2 linked regions of the Arabidopsis thaliana genome follow. The protein of the gene in region 1 interacts with the protein of each later gene in a pairwise test. Each region holds a gene or a part of one and is shown on either strand. Other genes may lie near its edges.

Region 1 (3,721 bases):
CAAATGCACCCTTTTAGGCTTTTATACTAGTTGTTATGATACAAGATTACAAGACACGGAATGCGCGAATTAACTAAGCAAAAATATTAAATAATGATTATGATTACATTGACTATAACGATAGGAGTTGAATTTTATTAATGTCAACGTCAACCATTTTTAAAAAAAATCATAGAAATGCATATTGTTTATTTTTTATTATTATTTAATTGCAAATTTGCAATCGTGAAGGACTCAAAAGCCGTATATAAACGAATTATGTAAATTACTAATAACATTTTTGGAAAAAATGTGAATATTCAGGATATAAAAATAGTATAATACTTAAATTATTGTTCGTACAAGAATGACACGTAACTGCAAACGCGTTGACTTCGTAGGCCTAATTAAAACGCTTATGAAATTGCCAATAAACACACACGGGAAAATAGTAACATCCAAACATTGCATGGAAAAGAGTTTAAGGTTTGTGAAGGAATTTGAGAATTTTCTTCCTTACTTTTTTTTTCTTTCTGAAATTAAAATTGTTTTCTTCCTTCAATTTTGATGAAGAAGAAAACACATAAACGTTGCAAAACGACACTATACATGTTGACTTTTGGTAGGCGTAAATGATTCGTTTTACTGGCAAATTATGAAAAGTTAGGGCTTTTTAATAACATTTTTTAATGATCCGACACAATAATAATTTTGCATGATGATTAGAAATAAGAAGACTTGACCTTATAGATAGGTTGGTTACATATGTTTTCACAGAAATAGTACTCCCAAACATAGCCTTGCGAGATATGTAGCCAACAAAGTAATATATGTATTTGGTAACGTGACCCAAAGAATCTTAAAAAGCGTATAATCTTATTAAATTCCACGATTGGTGAATTAAAATGAAGGAAGCATAATGTAGGGTTACAATGATCATATGTGTGTTTATGAGACTGGAACTGGTCGTTTGGAAAGAGCAAGGGATGAGAAAACGGATAAAACGGCAAGAGAGACGAATGCGAAGAGAAGAAGACTGGCCGATGCATATCCTTTACTAAAGAACTTATCCACTGGATCAGTCGAATCAAATTCTATTAATGCTATGTATGTGTCTTTCAAATCTTTGCTCACTCCAAATCCTGCCGCCGAACCCGTTGCAAGTAAATATGATATTACCTGTCCAAATTTGAACCAGATTTTGTTATATATCAATATACAGTATGACTTATAATTTTAATGTATTTAAAGATAGTATTTCCTCAAAAATGATATAAATACCTTATCACCGTAGAAATCGAACTGATAAGTAAGAGGATGTGTTTTTCCGGTGGCAAATTGGGAGATTGTTAAGAACAGTTGTACAACGGCGTAAACTAGTCCGATGACGGCAGCGGACAGCATGTATCTTCATGAATGATGAATCCAAACATATATGCAAAAAATAGGTAAAAATAGTTAGTCAAATATTGGATACAAAATTTTCACAGAGAAGGTAAATAATTTATTTACCTATAAGCATAGACATCGTTGAAAGGCAATTTGATAGACGTGCTTGAAATTTCGAGAGTGACGGTGTTGGTGCTGATGAGGACCACCGTTATGAGGAGGAAAGCCGCGGTCAAAACCCTAAGGAGAAGGAGCACTGTCCTCAACGTAACGGACGGTGGTGCCGGAGGTGGTGGAGCCATATAAATCTTCCCGTTAATTAATCGTTACGCTTTAAAGAGTAAGATGAAAATGATTAAGGCTAAGATGTTCGAATGCAAGACATGGAATGTTGACTAATTTATAGCCAAAATTTACGTTGACTCGAGTTCGAAGAGTTGATTTTTGTTACATTATAATATTTAACCATAATGTAAAATATATATATGCACAAATTGTATTCTTCAATTCGTGCTGGAGCTTGCTGGAACTCGATCACCACTTCTAAGTTCTAACTTAGTAATTGAAGTCGTGATATATTTTATTGACATATGGTATTAATTTAGATTTAAAACAGTTTTTAGCCAAGGAATTGTAAGTCTAAATTCATAGTCTTCGTAGCCAGAAGGCAACCTTTGATATTATTTTTATTATCTATATCTTTTTTTTTTTTTGGACAAAGCTTGTATCTACATCTAACTGAGAAAAAAGAATGTTTTTCTTTGTCATATTATTGTTCTCAAATTCTGATTATACAACTTTTGACATCAAATCATAATTATGCAATCAAACAAACAAACCAAAAAAGAAATATGCGACTAGCGTAATTTTTGCGCCACAATGTATTTTATATGCATAGCAAATCATTAGAATCCTAGTACAACTGTACAAAGTTCGAGTTGGACACCTAGCAGCGATAATTCAAACCATGTTTCCATCTAATGTAACAGTATAGACTTAGTCGTCTATCAATTTTAGGTGCAATCATTCGTATTAAAAAGAAAACTTAGTTTTTTTTTCATACTGTTTAGAGGAACAAAATACATGTAACAAGAGGTACATTTTTGTTTGAGTTAAATTTTACAATTTTTGAATATATAGTCAACGAAGACCGAAAAAGTTGAGTCAATTCCTAAGAATCAATCTGCCACATGCATCGCCGTGCTTGAAGGGCGGCTCACTGTCTTCTTGCTTATTACTACAGTTAAATCTTTTTTTTTCAACATCTAATGCTATACTTTTAATCTATAATATATATTAGATGTGACTTAAGGAATTTCAATAGTTATACATAATAATAAAAATGAATATTTGTTAGTGTTACAAACTGTGTGTCATAATCATCATTCATCAGGATTTCAAAAATATCTCAAAATTGTTGTAAGTTCATGTAATTCGAAATGAATGTGCACTATAAGAAATAAATTTACAATTTAAAAAATGCTTCAATACTGGTTACAAAAAAAACTTTCAATACTAGTATTATACTACTTACTTAGTCAAAAAAGTTTATGAATATGGTTTTTTCTGTATGTTAATATTTTTAACTGAAAATAGTACCGACATAACAAGTAAAGATATCTTTATTTAAAGTAACAAACATTAATTTCACTTCAAATTCTCACTATTAAGGATTCCTCTCTTTGTAGCCACATTTCACCATCACTACTTTGTTTTCGCATATCTTTAAATTTTGTATACGTAGCAAACTCTTTCGAGAAAACAAGATGAAGCTCGTGGTTGTACAATTCTTCATAATCTCTCTTCTCCTCACATCTTCATTTTCTGTACTTTCAAGTGCTGATTCGTGTAAGTGTTTACTTAATCTAGTTAATAATTGTAGGTCATGCATGTATCATTTTGAAACAAGTTTTCTGAAATTCTAAGATTTTACATATATATGTGATAAATGAATTAGCAGCATGCGGTGGAAAGTGCAATGTGAGATGCTCAAAGGCAGGACAACATGAAGAATGCCTCAAGTACTGCAATATATGTTGCCAGAAGTGTAATTGTGTTCCTTCGGGAACTTTTGGACACAAAGATGAATGTCCTTGCTACCGTGATATGAAAAACTCCAAAGGTGGATCCAAGTGTCCTTGAACGTTCTTTGAAGATCCTCATCACATACATATAACTTCTACGTACTATATGTGTGGAAATATTAATCACATTCTATGTTTGAAATATATAAAATAAAATCAATGCCCCCAATGTTGGAAATCTTCAATGTGATATCTTAATATATATCACGAATAAAAAAGTTTAAATTTCTCAATCTCATTTTTAATCTTTAATCTAATTTCTTAACACA
Region 2 (7,434 bases), 400 kb from region 1:
TTTGACAATCCTTTGTAACACAATGATACCATTGAGTTATTGCATCTAAAAAAACACGTGGTTTCATTATTTGGATTTTGGACCCAATGTCATTTTATTGGGCAGTCTTTTACGGTAAAGTCAAATCTCAGAAATGGTTGGAAATATTTATTTTCCATTCCTTCTTTGGTTATGTTTGTTACGTGTTGTTCTCAGCATCTCACGCTCCATAATATCTGAGCTCATCACATAACAAAACCATTTTTGTCATTTTTTCAAACAATTTTGGGATTTCGAAATGGACCCAATGTAAAAGAAAAAATTTCCATTAATTCTGTGTCCTAGAAAAATAGTTTTGACATATTTTAAAATTATTTGAAATTATTAATATACCTCGTTTTAATACTATTTACTAAACTATAACAACTTAATCTGAGTTATGCCAAAAGTAAAAAATAAACATCCTATTAAGTGTCATGTTAAAAAGAATATATATAATAACTATATCATGATATGTTTGTGATATGAAAGAAGTAAATGTAAAAATGTTTCTAGTTTAGTGATGAGTTTACGAAATTACAGAAAGGTAAGATATTGCTTCAATATTAAAGTGGATGCATTAAGTTCCATGCATGTTTCCCTTTCTCTAATTGTAATGACAAGGGACATCAAGGCTTAAATCTTGGGGCAAGATATCGCAAGCTTTTTGGACCACTATATTTTTTTTCTCCATCTTCCAATTTTATTGGATGCATCAAACGCGTCTTTGGACCACAGTCGCTTTTGATTTTCACTGCAAGCTTCATTTGTTCATGCTTGAAACAGAATGGAATGTCTCAGAAATTTTACTATTGATCCAAGATACTTGATTTGTCATAAATTTCTAGGTCGGCAACTACTGCAAGTGAAAAAGGTCATCCTCATACATACAGTTGTTCTATGACGAGAATATCCGGATATTTTGTCTTGATTCATAGGACTCAATTTTGAAGATCATAGTATCAAAAAGAACTTGAAACCCGAATGAAATAGTATTCAACTTTCCGTTCTTATTAGTTTCACTATAAAAAAATAACGAAAACTTTATTTGTATTTCGTACAAATCCAATTCAATAGTGCATTTATTTTTTCCATGTGCTCCTTAGATATACTGCACGTGTAGTATTAAAATGGTTGGATGTATTTCTGGTGATGAGGCTTAAGTAGCTCATAGAATTAGGAGACCTAATTAAGTAACTCGGAAAATGTAGACTCTAACTCGCAGTAATGTGAAATCTTACTGTATTACACTTTATTCTGAAAATCTAGTAGAAAACACCATGAGTTTTTTAATATGACGAAAGACGAAACTATATATACTTGTAAACGTAGAGAACTAAAATTTATATACAATTTAGACATTTTTTGTTGGAAATATTTATGATATTTTTTTATACAACTTTTATACGCCTCTTCCTATGAGTATTTTTAGTATTGTCGGTCAATTTCATACGAATACGCTTACCATCATTAACAGAAAAAAACAAAACAAAAAAACGCTTATTTCATCAAGCATAGTACGGCATAAAGTAATACAAAAGAATATGATAAATTCAAAACGGCTTATTAAGTTTTTGTTGTTGTTGTTGAGAGGATGGCATAGGTTTATTGAGTGATTCTTATCATTGGATACCTGTTGCTGACCAGAATTTTCGGCCAAATATACATAGGACTTTTGTTGTATTTTCTTCCATATTTAAACTATAATAAACAATGAACCAATTAAAAAATTGTATATGCCATCCAAGGATTTATACTGATGATGATGATGGTGGTGGTTACATGACCAATGTGATGATGATGACATTAATGAAAAGGAAACAAAAAATCTAGCGGTGGCTTTATATATATCACATACTTGAGGAGAGTAAGGCAATAGCTAAACTAAGCAAATCTCTAAGACTTGTTCTCATTTTGTTTGTTCAAAATCCCATTAAAAAAAAACACAATGCAACCTTAAATTATTTCCGTTTAGTCTCTCTCTTCACAGTCCTGACCTCTCTCAACTCTCACAACATTACCAAATACATCCCATAAAAAAACAATTCTTTAAAAAAAAAATATTTTGATATAAACAGAAAAAACAATTAATGGAGGCTGCAAAAGTTTACACACAAGATGGCACCGTCGACCTCCAAGGCCGTCCCGTCCTCGCCTCCAAGACCGGTCGTTGGAGAGCTTGCTCTTTCCTCCTCGGTATATGTTTTCGCAAACCTCAGATAACTATTTTCGTCTATAGATAACTTGAACAAAATAAAAACATAAATCTTTATGTAGTCTTTTGTGTCTTTGTGTGTGTGTGTGTGAGAAGGGTATGAAGCGTTTGAGAGGATGGCGTTTTATGGAATAGCGTCGAACTTAGTGAATTATTTGACTAAAAGACTTCACGAAGATACGATCTCTTCGGTTAGAAATGTGAATAATTGGTCCGGTGCGGTTTGGATCACTCCCATAGCCGGAGCTTACATCGCTGACTCATACATCGGTCGCTTCTGGACTTTTACTGCCTCCTCTCTCATCTACGTCCTGGTATTAATTCTACAGTCTCTTTTATTTCTTATGGTTAAAATACGAATTAAACTCAACTAAACCAGACTTTTACAACTTTTTGAAGAAATCGAACTTAGAAATGAACCAAACAAAATATATTAATTTAAAAATAGTTCAAAAATCTGAACTGGTGAAATATAATTATACGAAAATGATATCAGTAATTAATAAGAGCAGAGTCTACATTATGTATGACCTATTTTTTTTTCTTAAGCTTATTAAAGTTTTAATGGACTCGTCAATTTCTACTTTTATCTTCTCTTAAATATTCTATGTTTCAGATTTTTCATATCAATGAATATATATTTACTCAAAAAATTTTGGGTTGGTCATGATAAAGAAGTATAGATGTGTGTGTTTGTCGCGTTTTGGACGTACGATCAGATAGGGTCCGTGAGCATTTATCCCAAGAAGATCCACTGCCACAAAAACTATTTGCATTTTTCTCCACTGGTTATAATACTTGAGGACAACTGTGTGGTTTCTGTTAAAGTGGATTTATATTATAGTATGAGAATATTATCTTGAAGGATCAGAAATTTCCATATATGTAGGGGAAAAATTGGTATGAATGCTAAGCAGACTGTTTTTCCTTCTTATATAGCAGAGGATTTTTTACATCACCTTGACGGCTGTTTGACAGCACTGATGTGACATCTAAGTAGAAAGAAATATATAGGCCTTGTTTAGTTGTTTTTATAGGCCATGTTTCTATAAGTAAGAGTCATTAATTAGTGTTAGTAAAGTGATGTTAGGTGTTTCTTACAAAACTTGGGTACGTTTCTAATCATTTGGCACTGATAAGTCTGAGATGATTAGATTTAAAATAACCACAGGCTTAATGTCGACCACGTTGATCAAAATGTCGACTACGTGTCAGACTTGAAGGCACCAGTTAACGAAAGCTAACTCCATCCTTTTTTTTTTTTTTTGAGATTTGATTTCTGTTAGATCCTTGGATACGTGGTTTTCCACACATATTCAAAAGGACCCACGATTATCACTTTACTTCAATTTTATTAGTTTAGCAAACCAGATACATATCTTATCAGTATCTAGAGAAAAATAAAAACTTATGACTTTTAAAGATCACATCTCAACCAAGTAATGACTAATAACCAAGTTTATCCAAGTGAAGAACATTTAGTTCCGTCAGATTGAGAGACATGACTCATGATTCATGAAATGTCTTCTAACTTCAAAATGTATGTAGTTGCTAGGATTTTATACCGCCAAGCGAAAAAATTTTCTTTATTTTTTTTTAAAATATTTTCTTTTAAAATAATATTTTTACAATTTTAAAGAGTATTTGAGACATTATAAACAAAAACCAATTTGACGGGAAAAAAAAAACAATTCCTATACGTACATTTGAAACGTACAATAACATTTGGATTAAAATACCGAAGATGATTCCTTATAAGATCGTTATTCTGTTTGCAGGGGATGATTCTCTTGACAATGGCGGTAACAGTAAAATCCCTAAGACCGACATGCGAAAACGGGGTATGCAACAAGGCCTCCTCGTTACAAGTAACATTTTTCTACATATCCCTCTATACCATAGCTATTGGAGCCGGTGGAACAAAACCTAACATTTCCACATTTGGAGCGGACCAATTCGACAGTTATAGCATTGAAGAAAAAAAGCAAAAGGTTTCATTCTTCAATTGGTGGATGTTTAGCTCTTTCTTAGGCGCGTTGTTTGCGACATTGGGGCTCGTCTACATCCAAGAGAATCTCGGATGGGGTTTAGGTTATGGCATCCCTACCGTAGGACTCTTGGTTTCTCTCGTTGTGTTCTATATTGGAACACCATTTTACAGGCATAAGGTTATCAAAACAGACAATTTGGCGAAAGATTTGGTTCAAGTTCCTATCGCGGCATTCAAAAACCGAAAGCTTCAGTGTCCTGATGACCACTTGGAGCTTTATGAGCTTGACTCTCATTATTACAAAAGCAATGGTAAGCATCAAGTTCATCACACGCCCGTCTTCAGGTCAGTGTTGCATATCTCATTAAAGAATTTATTTCTCTTAATTATTTTCTCATATAATAAACTTATCTCAAATTCTGGTTCTAGATAAACGGATAATCTTTTTTTGTCCTCACCACTATATATATAGCGAATCAAAAACCAAGAGAGTATGATTGTAGTTTGACTCCTTGACAGAGAATCATAGGCCAATAGAACCATAGGATAAAAAATCTATCAAAATTATGCCTTTTGTGTGTGGTGCCTGGTGCCTGGTGGTGGGTTATAAAGTGGAATATATATACAATGTTGTTTTCTTTTTTTTATTAATATATCTAATCTAGTGTACCTGCTCTGTAGAATTTTGTTAGTAGATGGTCCCCAGTTCTCACCTTCTACACGTTAATGTGTTCTCCAATATCACCCCACTACAGTTTCGTGCCGAAATCATTTCACATTACAAAAACTACCTAATATAGAAAACTGAAGATATCACAATTGATACAATTTTAAATGTGCGTAGCTTTACTTGTTGGCATATGAAGTATCAAACAAGTTTTTGGAACTGATTGGACCTATTCCTTCATAGCAGTTTAAAAGCTAAAATAAGTTTATTGCATCTCATCTAGAATTAGAAAATATCATGGACAAGAAAAGTCACAAAGTCATTTTCAATGACAATTCAATTCATAGATTTAGTCATTTAGATAAAGTAAAAATAATATGGATATTTCAATTACAGGTTCTTGGATAAAGCGGCCATTAAGACAAGTTCAAGAGTGCCATGTACGGTGACAAAAGTGGAAGTGGCAAAGCGTGTGCTAGGACTTATCTTTATATGGCTTGTCACTTTGATCCCAAGCACCTTGTGGGCACAAGTCAACACTCTCTTCGTCAAACAAGGGACCACGCTGGACCGAAAAATTGGATCCAACTTCCAGATCCCCGCGGCTTCATTGGGAAGCTTTGTTACGCTCTCCATGCTTCTCTCTGTGCCCATGTACGACCAATCCTTTGTTCCCTTCATGCGCAAGAAAACCGGAAACCCTAGAGGGATTACTTTACTCCAAAGACTAGGGGTAGGGTTTGCGATACAAATTGTTGCAATCGCGATTGCTTCGGCTGTGGAGGTCAAGAGGATGCGCGTGATAAAGGAATTTCACATAACTAGTCCGACACAAGTTGTGCCTATGAGCATTTTCTGGTTGCTCCCTCAGTACTCTCTTCTAGGCATTGGGGATGTGTTTAACGCAATTGGTTTGCTTGAGTTTTTCTATGATCAGTCACCTGAGGAGATGCAGAGCCTTGGAACAACGTTTTTCACGAGTGGAATCGGTCTTGGGAATTTCTTGAACAGCTTTTTGGTGACAATGATTGATAAGATCACGAGTAAAGGTGGAGGGAAGAGTTGGATTGGGAATAATTTGAATGATTCGAGGCTTGATTACTATTATGGATTTCTAGTGGTGATTTCGATAGTGAACATGGGACTTTTCGTGTGGGCAGCGAGTAAGTATGTTTACAAGAGTGATGATGACACCAAGGAGTTTAGTGGAGGAGGATGTGTTCAAATGGAGGCCAAAGCCTTAGACACATCTCCTCTTAGTATCTAATTATAGCAATGAGAGATGTGTATATATGGTTTTCAAGAAAATTTGAAGTTGTGCTATTCTAATTAACATGATGAATAAAACTTGAAGTTGGAAGTACCAAGGTTTACTCAAGTTCAATGGTTATGTTCTACCTGTTGAACCTATTGATTTCCTTTGGTCACATATACTTGAACATTGGCGAATTCACATGGTGTTGGTCTTAAATTCAACCAACGATATAGATCTGTTAAGCAAGTTAACTTTGAAAGTATAAGTACCAAGTGGAATAGTATTTTCCCTTAGGACAAGGGATCATTAAGTACCATAGTATGAAGCAACCGTGACATTGGACCAAACCCAAAACATCACATCGTCATCTCCTATAAGGATTCTATCTTTGACCCTAGATAAGCCGTCCAACCACAAAAGCTCTAGTCAATGGTCTTCAAATTACAATTCTGTCTGTGGCCAATTATATCGATACTTTGGTGATTAATTTACGAAAAAATTGTTTTTGTTGGGTCAAATATTTAATTTTCAAATTGGTTATTTTCTAACATTAATTTTATTTTGCCATTATGCAAAACACATCCCCACCGAACATTTTTTGCATGAATCCGATCAGCAAGAAGCTGGATTTTGATTAATTCGATACGCAAAGGAAACTCCGAAAATAAAAATAAAAAAACCAAACTAAATGAATTAATCAATTAATGGTAATATACAGCTGACACTTCCACCCAACCAAGAAACACTATATATATTACACGTAACTGCAGATCCAAAGCCAGCTACACACAAAATTTGGTGCAAGTAGCTTTTTTATAGAGTTAAGTAACATTATGTTGCTTGGATTCTAGAATAACCAACAATATAAAGAAAAAAGGAAAAAAAAAAAGGGAAACTCAGTTTCGTATGTATGACTCACTAATTTGATTTAAGCTACCCAAAATTCAAAATGCATCTTCATCAAGGTTAAATGAAATTTTTTGTAGACCAATTGACTTCTACTTTGTACATCAATAAAACGATATTTCAACCTCATTTAATTATCAGTAATATGAATGCTAAATACTACTACTAGTACTACGTACTTACCAACTAAACAATATTAATATACGTTTGATAGATTAATGAGTAATGACAGGCTATTCAAGACCAACCTTGTTCACTTATATTAATTTAATTTAATTTAATTTATTAGTCACCGGATCACAAATTATCGAAATAAATTAATTATATGTATTTGTATGTGTTTGTAGAATGATACAATAAAAATTTAACCGAAGTAGTTGTTC

What was found.
Region 2: the proteins of AT2G39530 (region 1) and AT2G40460 interact in a protein complementation assay, tested with the Arabidopsis thaliana proteins (one large-scale study listed by BioGRID).

Annotation. Positions count from the first base shown.
Region 1 is NC_003071.7:16,497,732-16,501,452, forward strand, and holds AT2G39530 (Uncharacterized protein family (UPF0497)), read right to left. Parts: upstream 1,794-3,721; 5' UTR 1,671-1,793; coding exon 1,492-1,670; intron 1,388-1,491; coding exon 1,261-1,387; intron 1,159-1,260; coding exon 928-1,158; 3' UTR 633-927; downstream 1-632. Other genes in the region: AT2G39540 (Gibberellin-regulated family protein), read left to right, coding at 3,135-3,216, 3,329-3,510.
Region 2 is NC_003071.7:16,895,015-16,902,448, forward strand, and holds AT2G40460 (Major facilitator superfamily protein), read left to right. Parts: upstream 1-1,892; 5' UTR 1,893-2,108; coding exon 2,109-2,214; intron 2,215-2,329; coding exon 2,330-2,547; intron 2,548-4,011; coding exon 4,012-4,568; intron 4,569-5,286; coding exon 5,287-6,157; 3' UTR 6,158-6,656; downstream 6,657-7,434. Other genes in the region: LBD15 (LOB domain-containing protein 15), read right to left, coding at 7,416-7,434.